4 linked regions of the Drosophila melanogaster genome follow. The protein of the gene in region 3 interacts with the protein of the main gene of each other region in a pairwise test. Each region holds a gene or a part of one and is shown on either strand. Other genes may lie near its edges.

Evidence for each region.
Region 1: the proteins of M1BP (region 3) and CG11164 interact in a two-hybrid assay, tested with the Drosophila melanogaster proteins (one large-scale study listed by BioGRID).
Region 2: the proteins of M1BP (region 3) and D19A interact in a two-hybrid assay, tested with the Drosophila melanogaster proteins (one large-scale study listed by BioGRID).
Region 4: the proteins of M1BP (region 3) and Act79B interact in a two-hybrid assay, tested with the Drosophila melanogaster proteins (one large-scale study listed by BioGRID).

What each region holds. Positions count from the first base shown.
Region 1 is NC_004354.4:13,666,509-13,671,729, reverse strand, and holds CG11164 (uncharacterized protein), read right to left. Parts: upstream 3,717-5,221; 5' UTR 3,644-3,716; coding exon 3,283-3,643; intron 3,211-3,282; coding exon 2,549-3,210; 3' UTR 2,157-2,548; downstream 1-2,156. Other genes in the region: CG15760 (uncharacterized protein), read right to left, coding at 284-429, 1,081-1,170; DNAlig4 (DNA ligase 4), read left to right, coding at 3,990-4,302, 4,370-4,534, 4,594-5,221.
Region 2 is NT_037436.4:6,184,610-6,191,902, reverse strand, and holds D19A (D19A), read left to right. Parts: upstream 1-2,779; 5' UTR 2,780-2,923; coding exon 2,924-3,869; intron 3,870-3,930; coding exon 3,931-5,522; 3' UTR 5,523-6,073; downstream 6,074-7,293. Other genes in the region: CG7386 (uncharacterized protein), read right to left, coding at 43-720, 779-2,089; CG43293 (uncharacterized protein), read right to left, coding at 6,137-6,199, 6,259-6,507; D19B, read left to right, coding at 7,102-7,293.
Region 3 is NT_033777.3:8,727,634-8,733,522, forward strand, and holds M1BP (motif 1 binding protein), read right to left. Parts: upstream 4,066-5,889; 5' UTR 3,950-4,065; coding exon 3,809-3,949; intron 3,741-3,808; coding exon 3,037-3,740; intron 2,980-3,036; coding exon 2,734-2,979; intron 2,469-2,733; coding exon 2,303-2,468; 3' UTR 2,157-2,302; downstream 1-2,156. Other genes in the region: CG8159 (uncharacterized protein), read left to right, coding at 1-24, 93-338, 398-683; ranshi, read right to left, coding at 819-933, 993-1,238, 1,291-1,850, 1,908-2,027; CG8202 (uncharacterized protein), read left to right, coding at 4,500-4,516, 4,583-4,673, 4,737-4,850, 4,911-5,082, 5,133-5,788, 5,849-5,889.
Region 4 is NT_037436.4:21,982,825-21,988,575, reverse strand, and holds Act79B (actin 79B), read right to left. Parts: upstream 3,367-5,751; 5' UTR 3,328-3,366; exon of another isoform or gene 3,252-3,327; 5' UTR 3,226-3,251; coding exon 2,301-3,225; intron 1,939-2,300; coding exon 1,733-1,938; 3' UTR 1,386-1,732; downstream 1-1,385. UniProt on the Drosophila melanogaster protein: Actins are highly conserved proteins that are involved in various types of cell motility and are ubiquitously expressed in all eukaryotic cells.

The sequences.
Region 1 (5,221 bases), on a different chromosome or scaffold from region 3:
CCACGCCATCCAATCCATCCCACCATTCCAACGCCCCAAAAACCCGCCTCATTGAACGGCCTTGCAGACGACCTCCGGGGAATCCCCAAACACAAAAACAAAAACAGTGCAATTCATGATGACCGTGACCATCGCAGTAGCTAAATAAATCACTTCTACTTTGCGCAATTAAAAGAATCACTGTCTCCGAAAGATTCCTATTATTTTACAATTTCGAATAGATAAGTTAGATAGACAGAGAAGTTTCCAAAAGGAGGAGTTTCTCCGGGTCAACACTACTCACCAGAAAAACCAGTGGGTGGCGAAGAACAGATTGAGAACATGCGAGTCCGAGGAGGGCGGAAGGGGGCGTGGCCCGCCCTGGTACGGCGGACAGCAGCCCTGGGTGCAACAGCCCTGAGTGCAGCCCTCGCAAAATCTGGCAGACACCTGGGAAAATGGAACAAGACATTGCATATATTATTCGTTTAATCATGAGAAATATTTGCACATTTTTTATGATAAAAAATAATGTATTCCACTTTTTGTCGATACACCTTTGAAATTGTCATTGCCAATAAATAAAGAATATAAACAACAGCTTGTTATTTTTGTGGTGTTTTTGTATAGCGAGCGACCACTGTACTGCGCCCTTGTTCTTGTGCTCATATTTATGTTTGTGTGCTATGCATTTATTACCGTTGGGAAAGCAATCGCAATCAATTTAAAATTCAAATGTGCATGCAACATGGATGCGCTTGCGTTTATTTAAAAAACTTTTTACAAAGATTAGCTGTTATCTTTTTTTAAGGCGTTTCGTGGGCCCAAATTGCAACAAGCGCACAATAATTGTATTTAATCAAAATATTACAGTGTTGAAAACCAAAGTTTAAATTGCTCGCACATACAAAGGTTCCCAAAAGCATGCAGTGAAACGTATAGTGTCTTGTTTTAAATGAATTCACAAGCGATTTTTATCACCTTGACAATTTACATGTGTAAAATGCGCTTAAAAATTAACTACAGCATAACATTTCGTTGTTTTTCGGTTATTATGCTAGTTTGAGTGCTTGCAACATTGATGAAATGAAGGGCACTTACGTTCGCTGGCAGCAGCCCCAAAAGGAGGAACAAGGAGAGCAGGAGACACTGCAGCGCGTTTGTGTGCGAGGGAGAGGGACGGAGCCACATCTTTCTCAGCCGCTGACGCTGCCTCAGTCGACGCCGCTGTCGCAGTTGCTGCTCGGACTGGCGCCAAATGTCCTACGGGGCTGGTGAGGGGAGGAGGTGCGGGGAGTGTGTGCCTCTCCCTTATTTTCTTCGATTCTTCGCTTTCTTCTTGTCGCAGCCTCCGTTTTGTGTCCGTTTTGGCCCTCGTGTGCGATTTGTTCCTGTCTTTTGTTTTGCTTTCCTATCTGGCTTTCTACTTGCTTCTTTTGCTGTTGATACTTTGCAGTTCCGTTATTTGTACCACATGCTGTTGTTGCTATTGTTGTTGTGGTCGGACTCACACAAACAGCGCTTTGTTTTGTCCTTGACAGACGCCAAATGCAATTTACCGTAGCATGCTTTTGTGCGTTGCGTTGCGATTGTTGGTGTTGCTGCCGTTGTTGTTGCTGCTGCTGCAGAGAAGAGAGAATTTGTTGCTAACTGAGTGCTGCATTGTATTATTTATCTTATGCCACACCAACCACAACACATTCGCACACACACATACACACACACTAAGGCACAAACACCTCGACGACGCCAAAGAAAATTTTCTTTCGTGTGACGCCACTCTTTTCCTTTCTCTGCCTTTCACAATTTAAACTTGAGCACTGGCTTTGGGACACACGGCTAACGGGAAAATTCACTAATGTAACCCCTGTAATTGTTGTTCCGAAAATTCAAGGCATATAGAAAACAACAACAACAACAAGAGCAGGAGTAGCAGGATATTCGGTTGCGGGCGAATGGGTAACGGGGGTGGCGAAATGCGAATCAAGGCGCAAAGCGGAATTCACCGTTAGCCTCGAACGTGGGAGCGCGCACAGCAACAACTGAGCGACAAAAACGGAAACAAAGGAGCCAGCAGCTTTGTAACTGACGGCCAGGATTGCCACCCCGCGCAATGAACTAAGGATTGAAATCATATGTGTTGCATGAATCCCCAAAAATTAATTTCGTTTCTAGTTAGTTTTATTAGTATACTCTGATTTCATATGTTTAATTAGCATTACTTAATATGCTTATATGGTATACCTAAAAAAATATGTCGACTAAGAAACTCTTTATTCGCAACATTTGGCACTGAAGCCTCTAAGTAAACCAATTCCTTAGAAGCCTGGCAACGCCAACAGCTGATGGGGATTTACCAAACGGAATCAAGAGAGATGATCAAACAGCGCATGCGCCAAAAAGGCGCACTTTCAAAATACCAAATTTATGAATACAAATCTTAAAATAACAAAAGTAATTCTTTAAAGTACTATATTCATTGTAAAAAAAAGTGTACATTTGTATTAAATAGAGTATATATATAAAATAAGGAGTTAAAACCTATTCTTAAGATCTGTGAAACGTTAATCTACTTCGCTTTGAAAAACGATGCGATGCTTTTAGTGCCCTTGGCTCCTTTGGCCAGGGCCTTCTCCTTGGCGGTCAGCGAGCGCTCCTTCAGAGGCGCCGCTGTGGGCGATGTGATGGTGGCATTGGGATCGCCATCGCTGTCCACTAGACCGCTGGACTTTAGCTTGGCAGCAGCATCGCTCTCATTTAGCTTGATCTTCTTGGAGTCGCTGCCCTCGTTCTTGCCCGCCACCGACTTGCGCTTCTGAGAAGCTGCTTTCTCCTCAACAATCGCCTGAATCTCGCTAGGAATGTGCAGGTAACTGGTGAGCAAGCCGTGCAGATCCGCATCCAAATACCGTCCCACATAATCGCAAGCCATGCGCGTGTAGTCCATTTCGTTGCTAACGTTCTCAGCTACCAGTTTCTCGCTTCGCACGAAATTCTGCGACTGCGCACTGTGGCCGCAGTGGACTTGCTTCTCCTTCAGGATCTTCGCCACCTGGCGCGTCTTCAGAGCCAACCAAGCCAATGTGCGCTCTTGGTTGTACTTGTAGAACTTCTGTTCGCCAGAGCTCTTCACATCTGCCACGCATTTAAGGTTCCCTGGGTCGAGGATCTCGTTAAGCAGACGACTGGTGCTGGCCTCCTCCACGGCAATGTTGTCCAGCGATATTGCTCCTGATTGTGGTTAAAGATTTTCAAGAATACAATAGTATAGTATACCATCGAAAGCGAATGATAATATCTTACTTTGCGCACAATGTTTTCGGAGGTGATGAAGAGCCAGGAACGTGGGATCCACGGGCGCGGTCATGTAGATTCTGCCGTTGGAGCAGACCTCGCTGTCCACGAACCAACTGCGTCGGGGTTCCGTGAACGCCACCAGCTCCATCATTCTGCCATCGGGATGGGTTATGAACAGTGCCTCCTTGCCATGTCCGGGATGGAAAAACATCTCCAGCCGAAGGTGTCCGTCGTCCGCATCTTTGGGCAGCAGTTCCTCCGACATGAAGAACACCTTCTTCAGTGCCGAGGCCTTGCACATCTTGGCAGATCCCTCCGCATCCGGATCAGCTTTTGGTTTTCTCGCTCGCGTTTCCTTTTTGCCCATTTTCTCGAATAACTTGCCAAGCGTGAAGCAAAAGTCAATAACTGTGGACCGAACCAAAACAAACGATTTGCCGCCTTTTTGGTTATTGATAGAAGTCTATCGATTAATTTTGGTATTTTATATAGTCTGCTAATTTTAACTTGTTCCTATAAACTATTTTATCTATTTTATGCCAAATAGAAGAGCTTAAAAATTAAATAATCTCTGCCACTAACGTCCGCATCTTAATATTGCAACTAGTCTAAAATGGGTATTAACTTTGATTGAGAAGCGCGGTCACATTGCTTGAACAGATGTTCACAGTGATGAAATTGTTTACAACAGTATATTGTTTTTAAACAACAAAATGAGCGTAGATATAGCCAGCACGATCAAGTTCCGGGATATTTGCAGCCTGTTCGAGAAGATTAAGGCCACGCAAAAGGTGGCTAACAAGGAGGAGGTCCTCAAGAGCTACTACGAGTCCTTCTGTCGCCACCGCGAATCCTTTCGCCGGCAAACCGGATTAAACAACGACCAGCCGGAGGACGGTGCCAGTAGCTTCTATTCCGTGCTGCGACTGCTGCTTCCGGGTGCGGACACTGGTCGGGATACCTATGGATTGCAGATCACCGCGCTGGGCAGGCTCTACATCAGGGTGCTCCAGCTACCCACGGACTGTGAGTGCAGAAACGTATTGGCAATGGCATTTAGGCTTATTTAGAATCTCTTTGTTGTCTCTACTAGCCAGCGATGCCATCAGGCTGCAGCACCGCAACGGAAACATGTACCGGGACTACGGTGATGTTGTTTATTCCGTGCTTAAGCCAAGGTGCTTTAATCCGCCCAGCAATTTGAGACTGAAAGAAATCCATCAGATGCTGGACACCATTGCCAACGAGGACACAGAAGGTGGGCGCTTTTAAACTGATCTGAACGACTGAACGTCTTAATGAGACCGCTCTTTGCAGTTAAGCAGCAGCAACTCATCCGGTTTACGGAGCAGGCCTCGCCTGAGGAACAGAAGTGGCTAATTCGGTTGCTGCTTAAGAGCCTCGGGCTGGGGATCGGTGAGCAAAAGATTTTCGGTGTGCTGCACCCCAAGGCGCAGGATATCTACCAGCGCTGCTCCGATCTGGGACATGTGTGCAATCTGCTGGCAGACCGAACCACCGACCTAGACGCCAGCAGCAGCAAGGACAGCAAGGCGGCGGTCAAGTTTGTAAACCTGAATTCCGTCATACGGCCATTCCACCAGATACGTCCCATGCTGTGCGAACGATTCCCCGGTGACATCCAGGAGCTGATGCAGTCGGATGTGCTCTATCTGGAGACCAAAATGGATGGCGAACGCTTTCAGCTGCACATCGATCGGGGTCGTTTCATGTACATTTCCCGCAATGGAGTGGACTACACCAGAAACTTTGGTCACAGCTACGATCACGGCACCTTAACGCCAAAGCTGAGGGGACTTCTGCCGCTGGGTCTGGAGTCTATCATACTCGACGGCGAGATGATGGTGTGGGATACCAACAAACTGCGCTTTCGGGAAAAAGGCGAGAATACGGACGTGAAGAGCCTGAAGCCGGAGGGCAGCTG
Region 2 (7,293 bases), on a different chromosome or scaffold from region 3:
CTCCTTAAGGTCAGGACCAGTTTGGCTAGCTGCCGCTGCCTATTACTTTTCGTATGTGTCTTGCTGCTTCTCCAGTGCCAGTTGGTTCTTCAAATCCTTGAGCTCCTTCTTGGCGACCTTCGCAATTTCCTGCCGTAGTGCCTCAACCTTTTGTTTACGGTCATTTCTCTCCCCCAGAGGCTTCGCCGGCTTTTCGTCATGGACTTTTTGGTGTCGGATGAGCGCCGCTACCTGGCGAAAGCGATTGCCACACGTCTTACACTCGAAGGGCTTTTCGCCAGTGTGTATCCACTCGTGTTGCTTCACGGATTGCGAGTTGGCAAAGCGACGGGAGCAGAAACGGCACTCAAAGTCCTTGACTTTTTCGTGGACGCTCTTGTAGTGGCGCTTCATGTTGCCTATGCTCTTGAATCCCTGACTGCAGCTGGGACACAAGTACATACCCTCCTTTTGCACAAACTGAATCTCGTCTGTGGGATTCACTGCGGTCCCTGCCAATAGGGCCACATCAACTTGCTCTACGCGGCGGGGATTCTTAGGAATGCTGGCTACGGATTCGGCGTAAACCTTCAGCAGCTGATGTGAGTCCACTTGAGTGTCACTGGCATCGCCATTTACTTGCACCTGTTTATAAGTTTCCAGAGCCCTTTCCACGCTCTTCTCATGAATCTTCAGATGATTGTTGAGACTCTCCGAATGCAGGAACTTTTTGTCACAAACCTGCAAGGCGAAAATATATCAGACTTTGGTAACAAGGGTATAATGGTAATTCCCTTACCTTGCATTCGCAGCGCTTCTCACCAGTGTGCGCCATCTCGTGTATTTTGCAGGCGTATGCTTTCCCGAACGTCTTTCCACAGTACTGGCAAGCAAAATTCCGGATTTTCTCATGTACGATCTTAACATGGCTCTCTAGCACCCGCTTCGTGTGGGTGGCATAGTCGCAGATGCGGCACTTAAACTGGTTCCGTTGGGTGTGGATCAGAATGTGCTTACTCCATTCCTGGCGGGTGGTCTTTCGCACTCCGCAGTACTGACACACGTAGTTCTTGATGCCAGCATGCCGGAGAAGATGATTCTTTAGGGCACTATTGATGTAAAAGCCCTTGCCGCAAATGGTACACGGATAGGGAAGCTCTTCGCCCGTGTGCGTGTACATGTGCTTCTTCATAGCCACCGGGCAACGAAACACCACGCCGCATTCCTTGCAAGACTGTTCACCCCGCGGAGCAATAACCCTCGCCTGGTTGTGAACCTTTTTCAAGTGAATGGTCAGCAGCCGGAGACGGGAAAAAACCAATTGACAGCCCTCCACGGTGCAGGGAACCGTATCCTCCTTCTTGGAGTGCGCATAGTCCACGTGCAAACGCAGTGCACCGGCTGTGGTGAAGCCCTTTCGGCAGCTTTCCTCCTGACACTGAAACGGCAACAGGTCATTGTGGTGCTTCATGTGCTCCTCGAACTTTGATTGCTTTTTGAACTTTTGCTGGCAGATGGAACAGCTCATAAGGCGAAACAGTTTACGCTTGTCGTTCGCAATCCGTCGCTGCCCCATGGCCTGCTCATCGTCGCTGTTGAACCCTTCCGACTCCTTTTTCTCCTCCTCCAGTCCGTTGTGCTCTGCACTGGAGAAGTGCTCCTCGCTTTGGTCCCTTGAATGCTCCTCTAGTTCCTTGTCAACTTTTTCCAGCAACTTGAACACATCCTCCTCGTTGTCAATCATCTCTAGTTTGTTATTCAGCAGCGGATCGAAACTGGCCGGCTCCTCTGGCCTTTCAGGTGCCTCAGAATCATCAGCTATAGATTCGAATACACCCATGGGCATATTCCTCTGGCTGGTCATCATTTCCTTTAGACGTTTAATAGATTCTGCGCACAGTTCGCGGAAGTCATGCAGGTCGTTCAGCTTGGTGAAACATTGGGTGCACAGGTTTCTCGGGAAACCGTCGTTTTGATCCGCATCAAACGAAGTGCACGCCCTGAGCTTCTGGAACAGATCTGGAACCACGAAGAGATCGTGTCCAGCACCATGCTTCAGGTGGACAAGGCAGGTGAGACAAAGCGATTGGACGGAGTACTTGAGCTCCATAGTGCCCATTTCCCTCAATTCTCGGGCAGATAACAATCGAAGCTTCTAAACAAATTTGTTCCAGTGTGACAGGCAGTCTGACCGTTTCGCTATGCCATTAACCCATTACGGTGTAGTGGGGTGGCAAGTAAACAGCATACTTGGATTCTTATTTTTATATTAACTTGTTTTAATGTAAGTGCTTTTTAGCAAGACCATGCATGCGTCTAGTTAAAATACATTTATTTATTATTTATTTTTGACTTTATTTCGATACAGAAATCTTGTACGTTCATTTTCGTATCAAATTTTCTTGATGCCCAGTTTGTATATTTTCAAATGTCGTTGCTTATTATTAAAAGCAATTTGTTTTACATGTTTATATATACATACTAATACAAAAAAATTTGTTTTATATTTTTTCTATATATACATACCATTATCTATATATTGTAAGTTCAGTTTCGTTTTTGTTACTATGGTGCTCAGTTTGCAAAATATTTTTAAAAAACCCTGAAATACTATTTGAAGTATACAAGCAATATCTATTTAATTAAATTAGTTGTATATATATATATTTTTTTTTTTTGTATATTGCAACCTAATTAGAATTGCAAATAAGAAGGTAAGAAAAAACATTGATTGTCCAGCCCTGAAACGCAAAACAACTACGCACTCGGACGAGTAACTCGCTGGCAGAAGTACTTGCTTATTGCCCACTCGCCCGATTGCCAGTCGACGAGTATACAATTTTTTCTGTGTCAATATTATTTTATTGCTTACTGACCGGAGAGAGACGCAAAAAGCTATAGAAAACCGCCCCGATCCGCAGTGCCGATTGCGATTGAAAGCAAGATGAACGAGGGCAGGCAGTACTCGATCCACAGCCTGTGCAGGATCTGTCTGAACCACCTGCAGAACGACGCCGCCTACGATTTGTATCTGGTTCCAGGACTTTCGAAGAAGCTATGCTTCTGCACATCCCTGTCCGTGGAGCAAAACGACGGATTCCCGAAGAACCTGTGCACCCTGTGCTACACCAAGCTGAACGAGCTGCACGACTTTCAGAAACAGTGCGTCGATTCCGTGCAAAAGTTCCAGGATCTGGTGGCCAGCAATGTCTTTGCCTGCCAGAGCAGCTTCGACGTCTTCGATCCCAACGTTGCCGTGCAGGACTACCCGGCCGAGGAAGAGGACCACGTCAACTATGACCCGCTGCTGAACCACAAGATGGAGCTAATCGAGAACGAGGAGGATGTCTTCAAGATGCTGGAGCACGTCGACAAGGAGGCCGAGGAGGTGGAGAAGGAGGCCAAGGTGGAGGAGGATGACGGGGGCAACGTTTCCGTCAAGATGTTCGACGACGATTCGTCCATCGAGAGCGGCAATGACAACGACCACGATCTGGACTTCGAGCCAAATAGCAGCGATGATGACATTCCGCTGGCCCAGCGCATGAGGGGACCAGCTACCGGATCAGGACCCCAGCAGGACCGTTTTAGCAACCTAGACAAACCCAAGCCGAGGCCCCGGGGACGGCCCAAAAAGATAAAACCGCCTCCGCCAGAGGAGGAGGAGTTGAGCGACTCATCCTCCGAATCAGATGACTCCGAAGACGGCACATCGCGGGGCGACAAGCCGAAGAGGAAGCGCATTCCCATCGAGGAACGCCACCTGCACCGCATCATCGACTGCCACATTTGCCACCAGAAGTTCAAGAAGGCCATCCGCTACGAGGAGCACATGAAGTACCACAACGACCTGCTGCCCTTCCAATGCAAGGTGGAGACCTGCAAGAAAGGTATAACGCTGGCTTAAGTATAAATATAAGTATCCGATCTCTATGAAATCCCACCTTACAGGTTTCACTACCGCCAATGGGCTGCGCATTCACATCGACCACGCCCACACAGAGCTGTCCGAGGTTCACGCCTGCATCGCCGAGGGCTGCGGCAAGACCTTCCCGCGCGTCCGTCTGCTCACCTTCCACATGAAGAAGGTGCACGGTATCACCAAGGCGGCTGCCCCGCTTCGAGATTTCCCCTGCACAGAATGCGACACCGTATTCCGCTGCCCCACAGCACTCAAGAAGCACATGTATAAGCACACGGGCGAGGAGCTTCCGTATCCTTGCAATATCTGCGGCAAGCGTTTTGTAATCAATAGTGCTTTAAGGGATCACCTTATGCGTCACGCAGGCATCAAGAACCATGTGTGTCCGTACTGCGGGGTGGGCAAGACGACGCGCCAGGAATGGAACGCCCACATCCTCACGCACACCAAGGAGAAAAAGTTCAAGTGCCGACAGTGCGACCATGCCTCGCACAACAAACAGGCGTTGTCCAATCATGTAAAGGTGGTGCACGAAAAGCGCAAGGACTTTGCCTGCCAGTACTGCGGAAAGACCTTCGGCAAGTCGCACGCCTGCAAGGTGCACGAGAGGAGTCACACGGGGGAGAAGTGCTGCGAGTGCAAGATCTGCGGCAAGATATTCCTCTGCGAGAAGAGCCTCACCAAGCATTTGAAGACGCACGAGAAAAGGGATCTGCCGCCGGCGGAGCCCCTTCGCCAGCAGCTTAACATTCCCATGCCCGGCCAAATGTCCGTACCGATGCCGGGCCAGATGCCGATGCAGATGCAGACGGATGGTTTGGTGCCAATGGACCCCAACCAGATGCCTAGTGAGGACATGCTGAAGGCATGCGGCGGCGGGACCGCTGCAGTGCCTCCCAAACCGAAGAACTCGCGACGCGTCCAGCGGGTGGACATTTCTCAGCTGGCGGGTACTGCGGTAAATCCAATACCATCCGTATCCGTGCCCTCGTGGTCGCCGCAAGTGAACTTCACCAAGAAGGAAGGCCAGCACATCTGTCCAGGCTGTGGGCGTGGCTTCAATAATATTGGAAACATGAAACTTCACTACAAAATCATCCACGAGAAGGTCAAGGACTTTGCCTGTCGCTTCTGCCCGAAGAGATTCTCCAAGGCACAGATTCTGCGGCATCACGAATGGATCCACACGGGCGAGAAGCCCTTCGAGTGCAAGATTTGTGGCAAACACTTCCGCCAGGAGACGGCACTCAAGAAACACATCAAGACGCACGAGAAGCCGAACCGGAGACACGTGCCCGAGCGCAGTGCGCCCACTCAGATCACGTTCCGCAAGCTGGAGCCAGACGCCGAGCCGCGTAACTTTGACCAGTATCAGGATCCGGCGGTGGAGCGGGCAGCGGCCACCGCTGAGCTGCTGGCGCACCAGCTGGAGGAGAACGAGGCCAAGCGGAAGGCGGAAATTGAGCGGCAGAAGATCGCGGCGGCGGCCTGCGAGCAGCTGACGAAGCTGCAGCAGCAGCAGGAGATCATCAAGGCGACCACCTCGTACGATGGCTACTATGCGCAGAAAGCGCAATCCGAGGGCACCAGCCTGGATGCCCTGAAGATCGACCACGTCTAGGCAGCAGGATTGGCTTTACTTTACTAGCATATATGCATCATAACCTAGCCACATCCATATGTATCCACTTCCAATGCAGCTGACACTGTCCGGAAAAGTTGTAGGCATGCCTCGAATTGCTCTCTAGCTGGATCAGATTGTAGGTTTATAGGCACTCCAGATTATTCGAGTGCATATTACAATATGAACACTTCATACTTTTTACGTACTACGTTTATACATACATGCAATATATGTATTATTTTGTTTTCCGTGTAATATCTCCCGTGCTTACTTAGAGTAATGGATTAAAAGTAATATTCATAACGCCATTGGAGTTTCCATCTGGTGGGCGGGACTAAGAGACCACTTTGCAATACCAGTGATTTTTACAAATATATTTTAATAACAAAAAACAAATTTTTTAGCCCGCAAGAACATTAATCAAACCTTAATTTAATTAAAATAAGTCATTTTTAGCTGAAATCCATCTGGATGGTTATGCTGAATTTTATTTCATATATTCCGTTCTTTAAATTTAGACAAATAAAGATGATAATTGATTTTTAATCGAATATTAAGAAACATTTTGCTGAACGAAATGATGTGAAAGGGGGATTTTACTGGAAAAGTTTCTATTCTGCATCCACGTCGAAATCTTCGGATGACCCTTCATTGTCTGAAGGATTATTTGACTCCTAAAACAAATTGGTTAATCTTATGTAATACATCTTTAAAACTTAGTTGATGACTTAACTGTCCAGTTATTACCATCCGTCTGATTCAAATCCATCAAACTTGAGATAATTATCTTAGCTGCCTTCCTGTTTTTGTTGGCCTTCTTCAATGCTATACTCTGCTTCTCCAGGACCTCCTCCAACTCTGCGATCTCCAGTTTAAGCCTATTTCTTCTATTCCCGGCATGTTGCAGTGCCAGTTCAGTGTCCAATACCTTAACTTCAGCTTCGAGAGCTTTTACGGAATCCTTGTCTGGTTGTTGCTCCATTTTTTTTTGTATACTCTTACTCAGCATGACAAATAATAATAAAGCTGCTATAGAAACAATTGATACAACCATATTTATAGACATACCAACGATTTAAGGTATTTTGAAAATCCTTAAAAAATTTATATTTGTTTAAAAATGTATTTAATATTTAAACTAAGACATATGTATTTTTTATTTTAAATTCTCAGACTCTTTGTATTGTATTGATCTAGTGCTAGTATTGTGCTCGTAGCTGTCCGGCAGTCTCACTCGACTGTGTGACTTGACTACGAATACACACACTCGCTGGGTCTAATACGCCCATCGTACCCTCTCCGCTGCGCACATGCATGTGAATGGGAAAAACAAAACAAAACGCCTGAGTGTGGGTGGCGAGTGCTAGAGCTGCGCAGTTTTTCAGCGAGCGTACTCGTCGCTTGCGGGTAATCGATAACCCGAATTGCTGACGAGTGCACACACACACGCACACGCGAGTACACACAAATGTGTGTTGTATTGGATTTTTTTCTCGGCGAAAGAACATTTCGAATTGCTGTGGTTTTCGCGATTTCTGGCTTTCGGGATCGTCCAGCATCGAATTGAGTGTCCAAAATGAATGAGGAGAGCCAGTACTCCATACACACGGTGTGCCGCACCTGCCTGTCCACGGTGGACGACTCGGCGGCCTACGATCTGTTCCGAGTGCCCGGTCTGGCCAAAAAGCTGTGCGTGTGCACCTCCTTGTCCGTGGAGCAGGCGGATGGCTTTCCCAAGAACCTGTGCAATGTCTGCTTCTCCAAGCTG
Region 3 (5,889 bases):
CGGAATTAGGCCCTTTCAGTGCGAGTAAGAAAAGCTTTAGCTCGTCAATTGTACAATCTGATAGTTAACTGTGTAACATTGCTCTCATGTAGACTCTGCCCCGCCCGCTTCCTGTCCTCCGGTGAGCTGAAAGGACACCAAGTGATGCACACTGGAGATCGCAAGTTCCAGTGTCGTTACTGTGACCGCACCTACGTCAACTACAGTGGTCGCCTGCGTCACGAGCGGACCCACACAAATGATCGACCCTTTATTTGTGCGCAGTGCGGCAAGAGCTTTACCAATTCCTACATCCTCAAGAACCACATGCTTATCCACACGGGCGAGCGCCTGTTCAGGCTAGTAAACTATGATAAATAGTGCTTAAGTTAATGATCACCTAGCCGATCCTTTGCAGATGTGAGCTGTGCCATCGATCCTTTGCGCGACCCACCCACTTGAAGACTCACTTCCGCTCTAACACTCATAAGCACAACTTGGAGAAATCGATGGCAGACGCGGGTGGAGTTCAGCTGTCACCATCCCAGTCAGCGGATCAGGTCAAATTCGTGACGGAAAAGGAGCCAGAAGCAGAGGCGGATGCCTTTACGATAGAAGTGCCTTTGCCCGCGGAGCAGGAGCAGGATGAGTCTTTGGGCCTGGCTGCTCTGGAAACATCCACTCTAATGTATAGTACAAACTAGACCTTAATGAGTCCATCTCAACCTTTAAAGCCAAATATAGTTCACAATTTGATTATCCGTTTTGATTTTTTTTGTAAAAATTCCTATTTTGGTAATGCAACCGTTTTCAACTAAGAGCTTCTTAAGTGATACCTTTTAGGGTTTATCAAAGATTGTGTCTGCTTTCTGCATGTTTCGTCTGTGAGCATTTGAACGATAATGGGTAGTAAGGTGTGTGTAGCGACTGAATAACTTATCGCAGAGGTCGCACCTGCAAATAGAATAGATTATTATTATTACACTTAAGTACTATTTCGAGTACCCGCTTACCTAAAAGCCTTCTCCCCGGTATGCACGAGCATGTGGTTCTTAAGAATATAGGATGTTGTGAAGGCATTGTTACACTCCTTGCAGACAAAAGGTCGTTCGTTAGTGTGAGTCCGCTCGTGCTTCAACCGAGTGCTGTAGTCAGAAAAGCTGCGGGAACAGTGTCTGCACTTGAAGGGCTTTTCCCCGGTATGCTTGCGAATGTGACGCTTAAGTTCCGCCGGCGTGCAGAAGCGATCCTCACAGAATCTTAAATGAAGCGGATTAGTTAGGATCAATCTTAAGTAGAATTGCCACTTACTCGCACCCAAACTCCTTGACGCCGCGATGTCGCTTACAATGCAGTATGAATGATATTCGATCTTTTATGTGATTTCCGCACTCCTCACAAAAGAAGGTCCTATTGGAGTCGCGGGGATTTCGACGATTTCTCCTTTTTTTGGGATTCTCAGAGTCTGATTTGAGTTCCTGCTTTGCATCTACTTCAGTATCGCTTTCGTAAATAAGGTAATCCATTTCACTATAATCAATATCGTCCTCATTATTGGGCTCGTCTTCGTTGATTTTAGATTCATTTAGAATGTCCTCCACTTTAAAACCGGAGCTTTGAATGGGCCCTTCATTGAGATCGTCTAATCGCTCGACTTCTATGCTTATTTCTGCCAGATCCAGTTCCAACTCCTCCTGCTCAAGGACACTTTTGGGAGATTCCTGGCAGATTCTAAGGAAGTCTTCATCATCTTGGGAATGGAGCAACTCCCTTTGGACTTCCAAACAGCGTTCCCTAAAGGATATGGCTTGTTGCAAACAAGTTTGGCAGGACGCACATAGTCGATTTGGCAACGTACTACAGTTCTTTAACTGTAAAGAGAAAAAACTTTAGAAAGTTAAAGACACTACGCATTATTATCCTCTCACCACAGCTCCAGTTAGTAGTTTGATGTGTTCCAGCGTAGTTTGATTGCGCTTTTCAAAAATATTCAATGATCTTTCAGCATTCGTGCGCTTGCCGCAAGTGCGACACACTTTTCCTTCCATTTTTGAGCCGATAAAAAAGTTTGAAACGCCAAACTTTTTGTAAACAATGCTATGCTTGTCAATCAGCTGTTCCGTTTGCCATTCGCATGGAAGCAATTTTTACAGATGAAATAAATGCTCATAAGTTGGGATTTGAAGTTTTGATTTATTATTCAATATTAAGTTCTACATATTACAATTGGTTTGTTAATTATTTGCAGAAATGCTCCTTGGCTGTGCGCCATTGTCGGTCTAGCATTGCCTGTAATTGCTATGTATATATTATAAGGACAGCTTTAGATGTGCAGGCTGTCCTCCTCCTCCTCCTTGAGTTCACGTTTCTGCTCCTGCTCCAGGACCTGTTTCATCTCGGCTTTCTCCAGATGCCGCTTGTGTACGCCAGACCGGAAGTGGGTGCTCAGGTGGGTGGGCAGCATAAAGGACTTGTCGCACAGCTCGCACCTTGAGGGGAAGATTCAGTATTAGATGGCATTTCAAACATTTCAGTAACTGTACCAGTATCACTAGTTTCATATTATTATAAGAAATTATTATAAGATAACTAAATATTACTCACGAAATTTGGCAACATAAGTAATATTTAGTTATCTTAACTCTCATAAGGTTTTGGAAAACTCTTGTAATGCCGCATAATATGATCTTAGAATTTCTAAGAAACCTAGTTATTGGGTTTCCCGGTACTGTGTAGCTGTATGACTCAACGTACCTGTAGGCCCGCTCGCCGGAATGTATCAGCATATGGTTCTTAAGGATGTAGCCGGTAGTGAAGGCCTTGCCGCAAGTACCACAGACGTAGGGGCGCTCATTGGTGTGGGTACGCTCATGCTTCACGCGCGTGGTGTAGTCTGTGAAGCAGCGGCCACAGTACTTACATGCAAACGGTCGCTCTCCGGTGTGCTTGCGCATGTGGCGTTTCAGCTCGGAAGTTGTGCAGAAGCGCGACTGACAGAGTCTGAAAATAAATCCATTTAGTCATACTGTATCCAAAAAGGAGTAGAAATGTACTCACTCGCAGCCAAATTGCTTGTCCCCACGATGGCGACGACAGTGAAGTTCAAAGGCCATGCGTCCCTTGATGTGATTGCCGCACTGCTCGCAGATGTATACTCCGCCGGTGCCACGACGACGCGCATCATCCGACCGGACCTTTGGCTTTGGCGGCAGACTACACTTCTTGACGACAATGTTTTCATGCTCGTACTCATCATCCAGCACGTTGTCAAGAACGGCCACCTCATCATCCGAATCGTAGACGTACGCGTCGTTGACGTCGCCCACAATTAGCTCGGTGTCTTCGTCCAGCTCCAACGTTTGCTGCTGCTCTTCGTCTTCGGCCATTATGGAATCATAGTCGGCCTCTTCAATCAAGGAGGCTGCGTCGTCCTCGCCGGCGTGTCCCTCGGCCACCTCGTAGTAGGTATTATCGTACTCTACCTTGGTGTCGTCGATCTCTTCCTTAGGTTCTTCCAATACGATTTCCTGATAAGTGGCATAGACCTCATCATCGTCGGGCGTCTTCACCGTCTGGACAATATCCTCGCCCATGACAGCCGCCCGGTAGAAGGCCGAGATGCCTTGGCGTTGCTCCTCGGTCAATCCCAAGAGTAGCTCACGCTGGGCGGCGATGCAGCGCTCCCTCAGCTTAACGGCGGAGGCCAGTTCCATGCTGCAGCATTCACATATCTGATCCGGCAGGCAACCGTAGTTCTCCAGCTAGATTAAACACCAATAAATTAAGCTATAACTACATAAATTCCATAAAGCCGCAGTGAAAAATTTACCCGAAGGCCTGTGAGCGCCTCAATGTTGTCGATCATCTTTGTGTTGCTCCGCTCGAATAACTTCGGCGACCGCTTGTTGCTTGCATACTTTGCGCATACGCGGCAGGTGCTCTTTAGGTGTTTCAGCGCCGATTTCGACATTTTTCATTCGCAATCCGAAATGAAATCGTTTTTAAGATATTTGTGAACACAAAAAATAAACGCGTCGCTTGTCAACTGCATTTGCCATTCACCCGGTGTTTCGTGTTAATATTTGCCATTCGCCCCGAAATAAACATATTTTCAGTGGCGTAGGCAAAGGGGTTCATATGATGCCAAAATATATATATATCCTCGAAAATGAATTACTTTGTTAACGTTAGTATTATATATTGCTTTGATATTTAACGGATTTGCATATTTATTATACTCCAATAATATCACATATAAATTTGAATTAATTTGTTTTATAATTTTAAATTTATAAAATTATAAATAAAATCTTTTATTTAAATCTTTAAATTAAATCTTTTTTATAAATTAATTTCTATAGAGCTGCAAGCGAAACGAAATATATACAGTAGAACAGGTTCTAAGCTAAAGTCCCTGGAATTAGTACAGTTTCTTTGGTGTATTTCATCCCTGACCGGCTACGTCCATGTCATGTTGGCAAGCAGCTGTCAGGAATGCCGACAACAACAACCACGACGCTATGGCGAACTTGGAATGGTAATTTATTTATTTTCCCCCGAAAATAAACAAATAAGCATTGATAACCATTTCTCCTGACTGCAGGGTGTGCGTGCCGCGATGCTACGAGGTCCGGAAGAATTGCCTGACTGGGCAGGCCACGCTGGAGCATCCCCTAAAGCAGCGGACGGTGACGGTGGGTAAATGGTACAACGCCCTTATCTGTAAGTGATTTTAATGAAAGAACAATCTCCACCAGGTGGTGGACAGCAATCCCTTGAGCCGAGCTCTAGAGGGCACAGATCCGCTCTCGCAGTTTGCACGCCAAGATGATGAGCTCAACGATCCGCTCAGTCAAATGGTCAGCGAATTCGTAAGTAGAGTGGTGCACCGGCAAGGAACATGACTAAGTTTTTCGCACTTGGATGTTCAGGATCTCAAGTCGAAGCGTCGTGAACGGGACCGAACGGAGCCCGAGGACAACACACTGCAGTGGAGCAGCCGACGACTAGGCATCCTCAACCGCTTTACAACCAATGAGAAGCTATCGCTGTCTACCAGCTTTCTGGTGTCATCTGGTAGCCTGGATGGCGGCAACGAAAGCAGTAAGTTCAGTGGTCGGTTGATCTGTGATATATATTAACAACAATCATAGTTAAAGCACAAACGGTGGTGGCCGACAAGACAAAGTTTCGCTTGGAGCAGTTAGACCACTTCGACGATGGCAGCATGCGTCACATGATGGATCTTACTCAGCAGGAGTACATTCAGCGGTTTGAGCAACTCAAGCAGGAGCTGATCCAGTCCTGGCACAACGATCAGCGAGTAAAAGCGTTGAAGATAGCCATACAGTGTGCCAAAATGCTAGCGGACACCACTGTGCTGCAATTCTATCCGAGTCAGTACGTTCTTATCACTGATATACTGGATGTTTTTGGAAAATTGGTATACGAACGACTGCGTGCTAAGGCCTCTGGAGATCCTGCCGCATCGGCGGCCACATTAGAGCGGGAACGGGAAGCTGCCCGGGATACGTGCCAGAATTGGTTTTATAAGATCGCCTCGATTCGTGAGTTACTGCCGCGTTTTTACTTGGAGCTGTCAATATTCAAGTGCTACGAGTTCCTGTCATCATCGCGCGAGGAGTATGAGCGCATTTTGCAACGTTTGACCCATCAACTGAGGGGTATAGCTGATCCTTTGGTATCGAGCTATGCCCGCTGCTACTTGGTGCGCATGGGCGTTACCCTAACGTCGAGTAAGACATACATAAGAGAGAACTTTGCCGACCTGTTCCTCATATATCCTCAGGTGAGACCGAGAAATATTAAACGTTTAATCACTTTTACTACAAATTTAATACTTTTAAAGATCTTTCGCTTCGTGGCCCGCTTTAATCTGCATCCGGAAAT
Region 4 (5,751 bases), on a different chromosome or scaffold from region 3:
TGCAGTTGCAATGGCAGCAAATGCAAAATGCAAAACCATTTCCGCAAACTGAAACCGACATACAAACAAACAATCGACGCAGCATTACTCCGAGAATGTGGATGACTCCGGGGGAGCACGAAAACCCTGGCCGGGCTGTAATTAAATTCAATTTGATGTACAGACAAGTGCTGCAAGCATAACAATACGAAACCAGAGAACGGATTTTGGCCCACTTTTCGGCCGCCTGGTATTCTGCACTAAAAGAAGAAAAAATTTTAGCTCCACTCTATTTCCACTTTTACTAAAATTATCTGCAAAAATGTTATTATTAATGTTAACTGTGATATTGGTTAAAGAATTGTTCTTTCTCACATAAGTTAACTTAACCACAGAAATATATAAAAATTTAGCCAGGAATCATAAATGTGCATTCTAGTGACTTCTCTGAGTGTGGGCCAAATCGACCCATTAGCTATTAACCCCTCAGTTTTAGGGCTTTATGGCCAAATTTGTTGACCTGCTGCGACCACTGATTGATTGAGTAGCGATTTCCAGCCAGGCCTTTACTATCATTTCGGACCAGCCAGTCCGCCAAACATTTAGTTGTACGCCAACGTGCCGCACTAATTTCTCTGTTTCCGCTCTCCCTGGCTGGACGGCGGATAATGAACCGCACTTGGATCCAATGACCCATGGACCGCTGAGCAGTGGCGTTGGTGCAAGGACCATGGAACAAAAGTTCAATTGATATCTACACGTGCCAGAATCCCCAGGACTGCATCTCTAAAATCATAATTGGCAAGGTTTTGGGGCAAGATTTTGGGTGCCCAAAAACATCAAGAATGCACGTGCTCCCTAGTCATTAGAAGAGTTTCCGTGTTACTGACGACTTAGCAGCAGACATTAGACCAATAAACCCAGTTAGACTCTTTTCTTTGGCGACTCCAGCAAGCTTGGCCCTAACTAATTAAGCAACAGTTTTCGGCACCTGGTTTATGCATAGTTTGGCGAAACCTCAAAAGTTTGCAGCCAAAAGTTGAGCACAAACATTTATGTTGGCGAAAAGTTCTGTGAGCAGTTGGGCTCCAGTTAAGACTGTCGCTGCTCCTTGTATTTCCGACTTCAGTCCTCCAGAAGTCATTCCTCGCAACCTCTCTTCGTGTGGAAAATCCATCTGGGTTTGTGAAAATGTGACAGAAGAGCATGCGGGGGGATAGATGCACAGATACAGATACAGATACAGATACAGATACAGATACCCGTACTGGGGGATTGCCATGGCAGCTGTTAGAGAATAAAAGTTGGCCGGCAAGTGCCTGATTGACATTCGTCGAGGCCTAATTAAAAAAGTTTCCCCACCACGCATTCCTGCTGCTCCTGTGACGTTCGACTTGGGTTCGATTCACATGGGTTATTGGTTTTTATTGTACGTACAACCGATTGTTTTGGCCACTTTACGCGCTGGCAAGCGAGTCAAGCAGTACAAATTCCGAGTCAAATCAAATAAAAATAGCAATAATAATAAAAAAAGAAGGCGTTGCCGCTCGTTTCCGGTCTTTTCTCGTCTCTTTCTCTTGTTTTCTCTATCTATGTTAAAACTTCTTCATCAACTAAATGTAATTTAAAGATACTTTTCACTGAACTGCGTCCTCACCCTTGGCGCCGGCGCCTGGTCGGATGTCTTACGCTGGAGACAAACACCAGGGCCGCGCTCGAGGAGATGTTGATCTGGTTTGGGTGGCTTGGATGCTTAGAAGCACTTGCGGTGGACGATGCCGGGACCGGACTCGTCATACTCCTGCTTGGAGATCCACATCTGCTGGAAGGTGGACAACGAAGCCAGGATGGAGCCACCGATCCAGACGGAGTACTTGCGCTCTGGCGGGGCGATGATCTTGATCTTGATGGTGGACGGGGCAAGTGCGGTGATTTCCTTTTGCATACGGTCAGCGATACCTGAAGAGGACAGAAATAGAATCCATTAGTGGTGCTACAGAACCGAGGAGCTTTGGTGTACTCATTACATGACATTTTAATAATAGCATGCATGAATATGAGATATAGGGAAAGGATATAACCCATTAGGTGAATTCTTTTTTTTTTTTTTGTAATACTACTTTCCATAAGATTTTTTTTAACTGTTATTACAAAGCTCAGCTAAATATTTAGGCTTTATTATTTAAAGATTTCCTCTCTGCCAAATGAATGTATAAAGTAACACTTGTTTTTTTTTTTAAGTATCCCGCATAGTTTTGATCCCATTCCCTCGGAAGAATTTCCTCTGAACTTTATGGTCCTAATTAATTAAGACTACGCACCTGGATACATGGTAGTGCCGCCAGACAGCACATTGTTGGCATACAGATCCTTGCGGATGTCCACGTCGCACTTCATGATGGACTGGTAGACGGTCTCGTGGATGCCGCAGGACTCCATGCCCAGGAACGATGGCTGGAAGAGGGCCTCCGGGGTGCGGAAGCGCTCGTTGCCGATGGTGATTACCTGGCCATCGGGCAGCTCGTAAGACTTCTCCAGGGAGGTGGAGGCGGCGGCAGTGGCCATCTCCTGCTCGAAGTCCAGGGCGACGTAGCACAGCTTCTCCTTGATGTCGCGCACAATCTCGCGCTCGGCGGTGGTGGTGAAGCTGTAGCCGCGCTCGGTGAGGATCTTCATCAGGTAGTCGGTTAGATCGCGACCGGCCAGATCTAGACGAAGGATGGCGTGGGGCAGGGCATAGCCCTCATAGATGGGCACGGTGTGGGAGACACCGTCACCGGAGTCCAGGACGATACCGGTGGTACGGCCGGAGGCGTACAGGGAGAGCACGGCCTGGATGGCCACGTACATGGCCGGGGAGTTGAACGTCTCGAACATGATCTGGGTCATCTTCTCGCGGTTGGCCTTGGGGTTCAAGGGAGCCTCGGTCAGCAGAACGGGGTGCTCCTCGGGGGCCACACGCAGCTCGTTGTAGAAGGTGTGGTGCCAGACCTTCTCCATGTCATCCCAGTTGGTGATAATGCCGTGTTCGATGGGGTACTTCAGCGACAGGATACCGCGCTTGCTCTGCGCCTCGTCGCCCACGTAGCAGTCCTTCTGACCCATACCCACCATCACGCCCTGGTGACGGGGACGGCCTACGATCGAGGGGAATACGGCGCGGGGCGCGTCGTCTCCGGCGAATCCGGCCTTGCACATGCCGGAGCCGTTGTCTACGACCAGGGCTGATGCTTCTTCGTCACACATGTTTGGTTAGTTTGGTGCGGGCGGCACTACAAGGATACAGACAGATCGGTTATCCCTTATGCGGGTTACGGATTTCGGATGGGCGGACAAGACTACACTCACGACGTGTAAATCCAACAGCGACAGCGATCAGAGTGATTCGTTATGCGCTCCGGCAGCTGCATTTAAATAAGTTCTGTCCCGCCCCGCCGGCCCCACGCCCATGTCCCTGTCATCTCGAACAATTGTTCATCTAGTAACATGTTGATGAATTCCGCGATATGCAACGCTGGCTGGGGATCAGGCGTTTCCGGGGAGGGTGGTCGGATGCACATCATTTCGATTTCACAAAAGTGTTCTGATTTCGGGTATTACGCCTACGGCAACAAGTTGGATTACGAATTAAAGAACCCTAGTTAAGCCACAACTTAGAGCAACTAAATTGGTACTAGATTTCAATATAAAATAAGTTGTTTTGTAAGTTGTAAGTCTTGTTATATTGTTAGAATTTTAATCCGCACACACTTATAAGCTTGTGAAATTTGGGAAAATAAATAATTTATTGGAACGCTGGGCTTAGGCTAGATAGTTTTGATATTTATATATTGTTTTAGAATGGCAATAGTCATAAATATACATACATAATATAAATATTTATATTTATTTTATATATTGTTTTAGAATGGCAATAGTCCCAAATATACACAATAGATATATTTTTTTGACAAATAGCAAAATTGGGTATTCCAATTACTTTTAATTTAAGCATCAAATGACAGAATGTGTTAAGCCAAAGCTAACAAATGGATTTATCTAACGAGCTTCGATTTAAGCTCTGACAATAGGCTCTCCGTTTTTTGATAGAATAATTTATTTCCATCAGGCCCTAAGTCGTATTAGTCAGAGCATTATCGGGATTTTGCGTTCGTTCAGAGTATTCAATTTGCTCCATTCCCAAATACCATTTATCACTTAGTTTCATTTCGTTTTCGCTAAATTATGTCTGGCTGCCAACTTTGCTATGACTTCGACAAAGAACAGAGGAGAGAACATATCGAAATATGCGCCAGGACTTGTATAGGCATCTGTAGATATATTTTTAAGTTTTTATATAAATAAACCCCCGCAAAACGGCGGCGCAGCAACAAGAACAACCCGTGAACAATGCAATGTAGTGGCCAGCCTTTCCCCCAAGTTCTTTATCTTGGTCTTGTAGGCAGCTTTTCCCTGCTCGAGTAAGAGAAATTGGTGCCAATGCTCTTCTGGGCCCCCACTCAGTCCATAGATGGTGTGGCCCGAATGTTGTCACACTCAAAAATGCAGCCAAAGCACTTGCGTTTATACATCTTATAAATGTTGACGCTGTCGTGTGGATTTCATTGAAATCAAATTGAAAAAATAGAATCAAATAATTTTGTACGGCTATGCACGGCACATAGCCCTGTGAGCCCAAAGGAAAGTGGTTGGGGGGTTTGGCGCAGCGGTGCATGCGGCCAACAGCAATTTTGCGCCTGTCCACCGATATCGCTCGATCTCATCGTGGCATTAGCCATAAGATTAATGCCCGATATTCTAATTAAGTGTGCCCCATCCGAGGAGGTGCATGCACTCTGCTTTTACTGCAGCGAGTGCATTCCCCAAAGGAGCAAACTTCTGAGCTCCAACTTTGGCCCGTTAACTTTGCCAAGTGCTCGCCAACTGCGGAGCATTACGTGACCACCTTGCGGATCAGGTACGGACACCAACCACGTATCATTGGTCGTACGCGCGTCGAGTAGTTGAAAGAGGTAAAAATAATGCCCGCCAGCAGGGACTTGTGGTTCCTCCGACTCAGTAGATAACCGCATCCAGGGGTGGAGGAGCTCTGAATACTTCGATATATTGCAACTTTTTCAGTTCACAGCTAAATGTGGCATGGGATCGGATCAATTAAGTGGGCAGATAGTATTTGTAATCAGTGCTAAGTAAGTCTTAATTAGTTCTTAGAAGGTCTTGTTTCGATCAACAAATAAGAGTGCCCTTTTGGAAATCATATTTTGGTTATTTTTCGGTTGTATATTAATAGATTACACATAGATTTCTTCAAGTAAATATAGACAGATTTACCTCCATTCTGCGCTTTTGGTACTGCTCAATTTTCCCTTGCACCCTTGCTGTCTGACCCCAACATCAATTTAGCTTGAAGTTTCAAGAGGAAAATTCGGCGAAAAAGTTAGCGCGTTGACAGGACGAAGGAGCCACCTTTGGTGGCAGAACCAAATGGCAAAGCCCTGCCCGTCCACAGCTCCACCTGCGGCACCTCCACGCCTCCTCCGGCCAGCACGCAATGCGAAAAGTTTCTGGGCGGAGAGAGGGAGCGAGGGGTGTTGAGCTGGCCTAAGAAACTTGCTCCAGTGCACAGAAAAATTAAAATACTTGCCACGCGGTTGCATTCCAAGCTGGAGGCGCCTCCGAGTAGCCGCGGGGCAGAACTATGCTTAGCTGGATTGCACGTTCCATGGCTAATTTATGATTTGTAATAGGAATACCCGTTTATAAAGTACATCA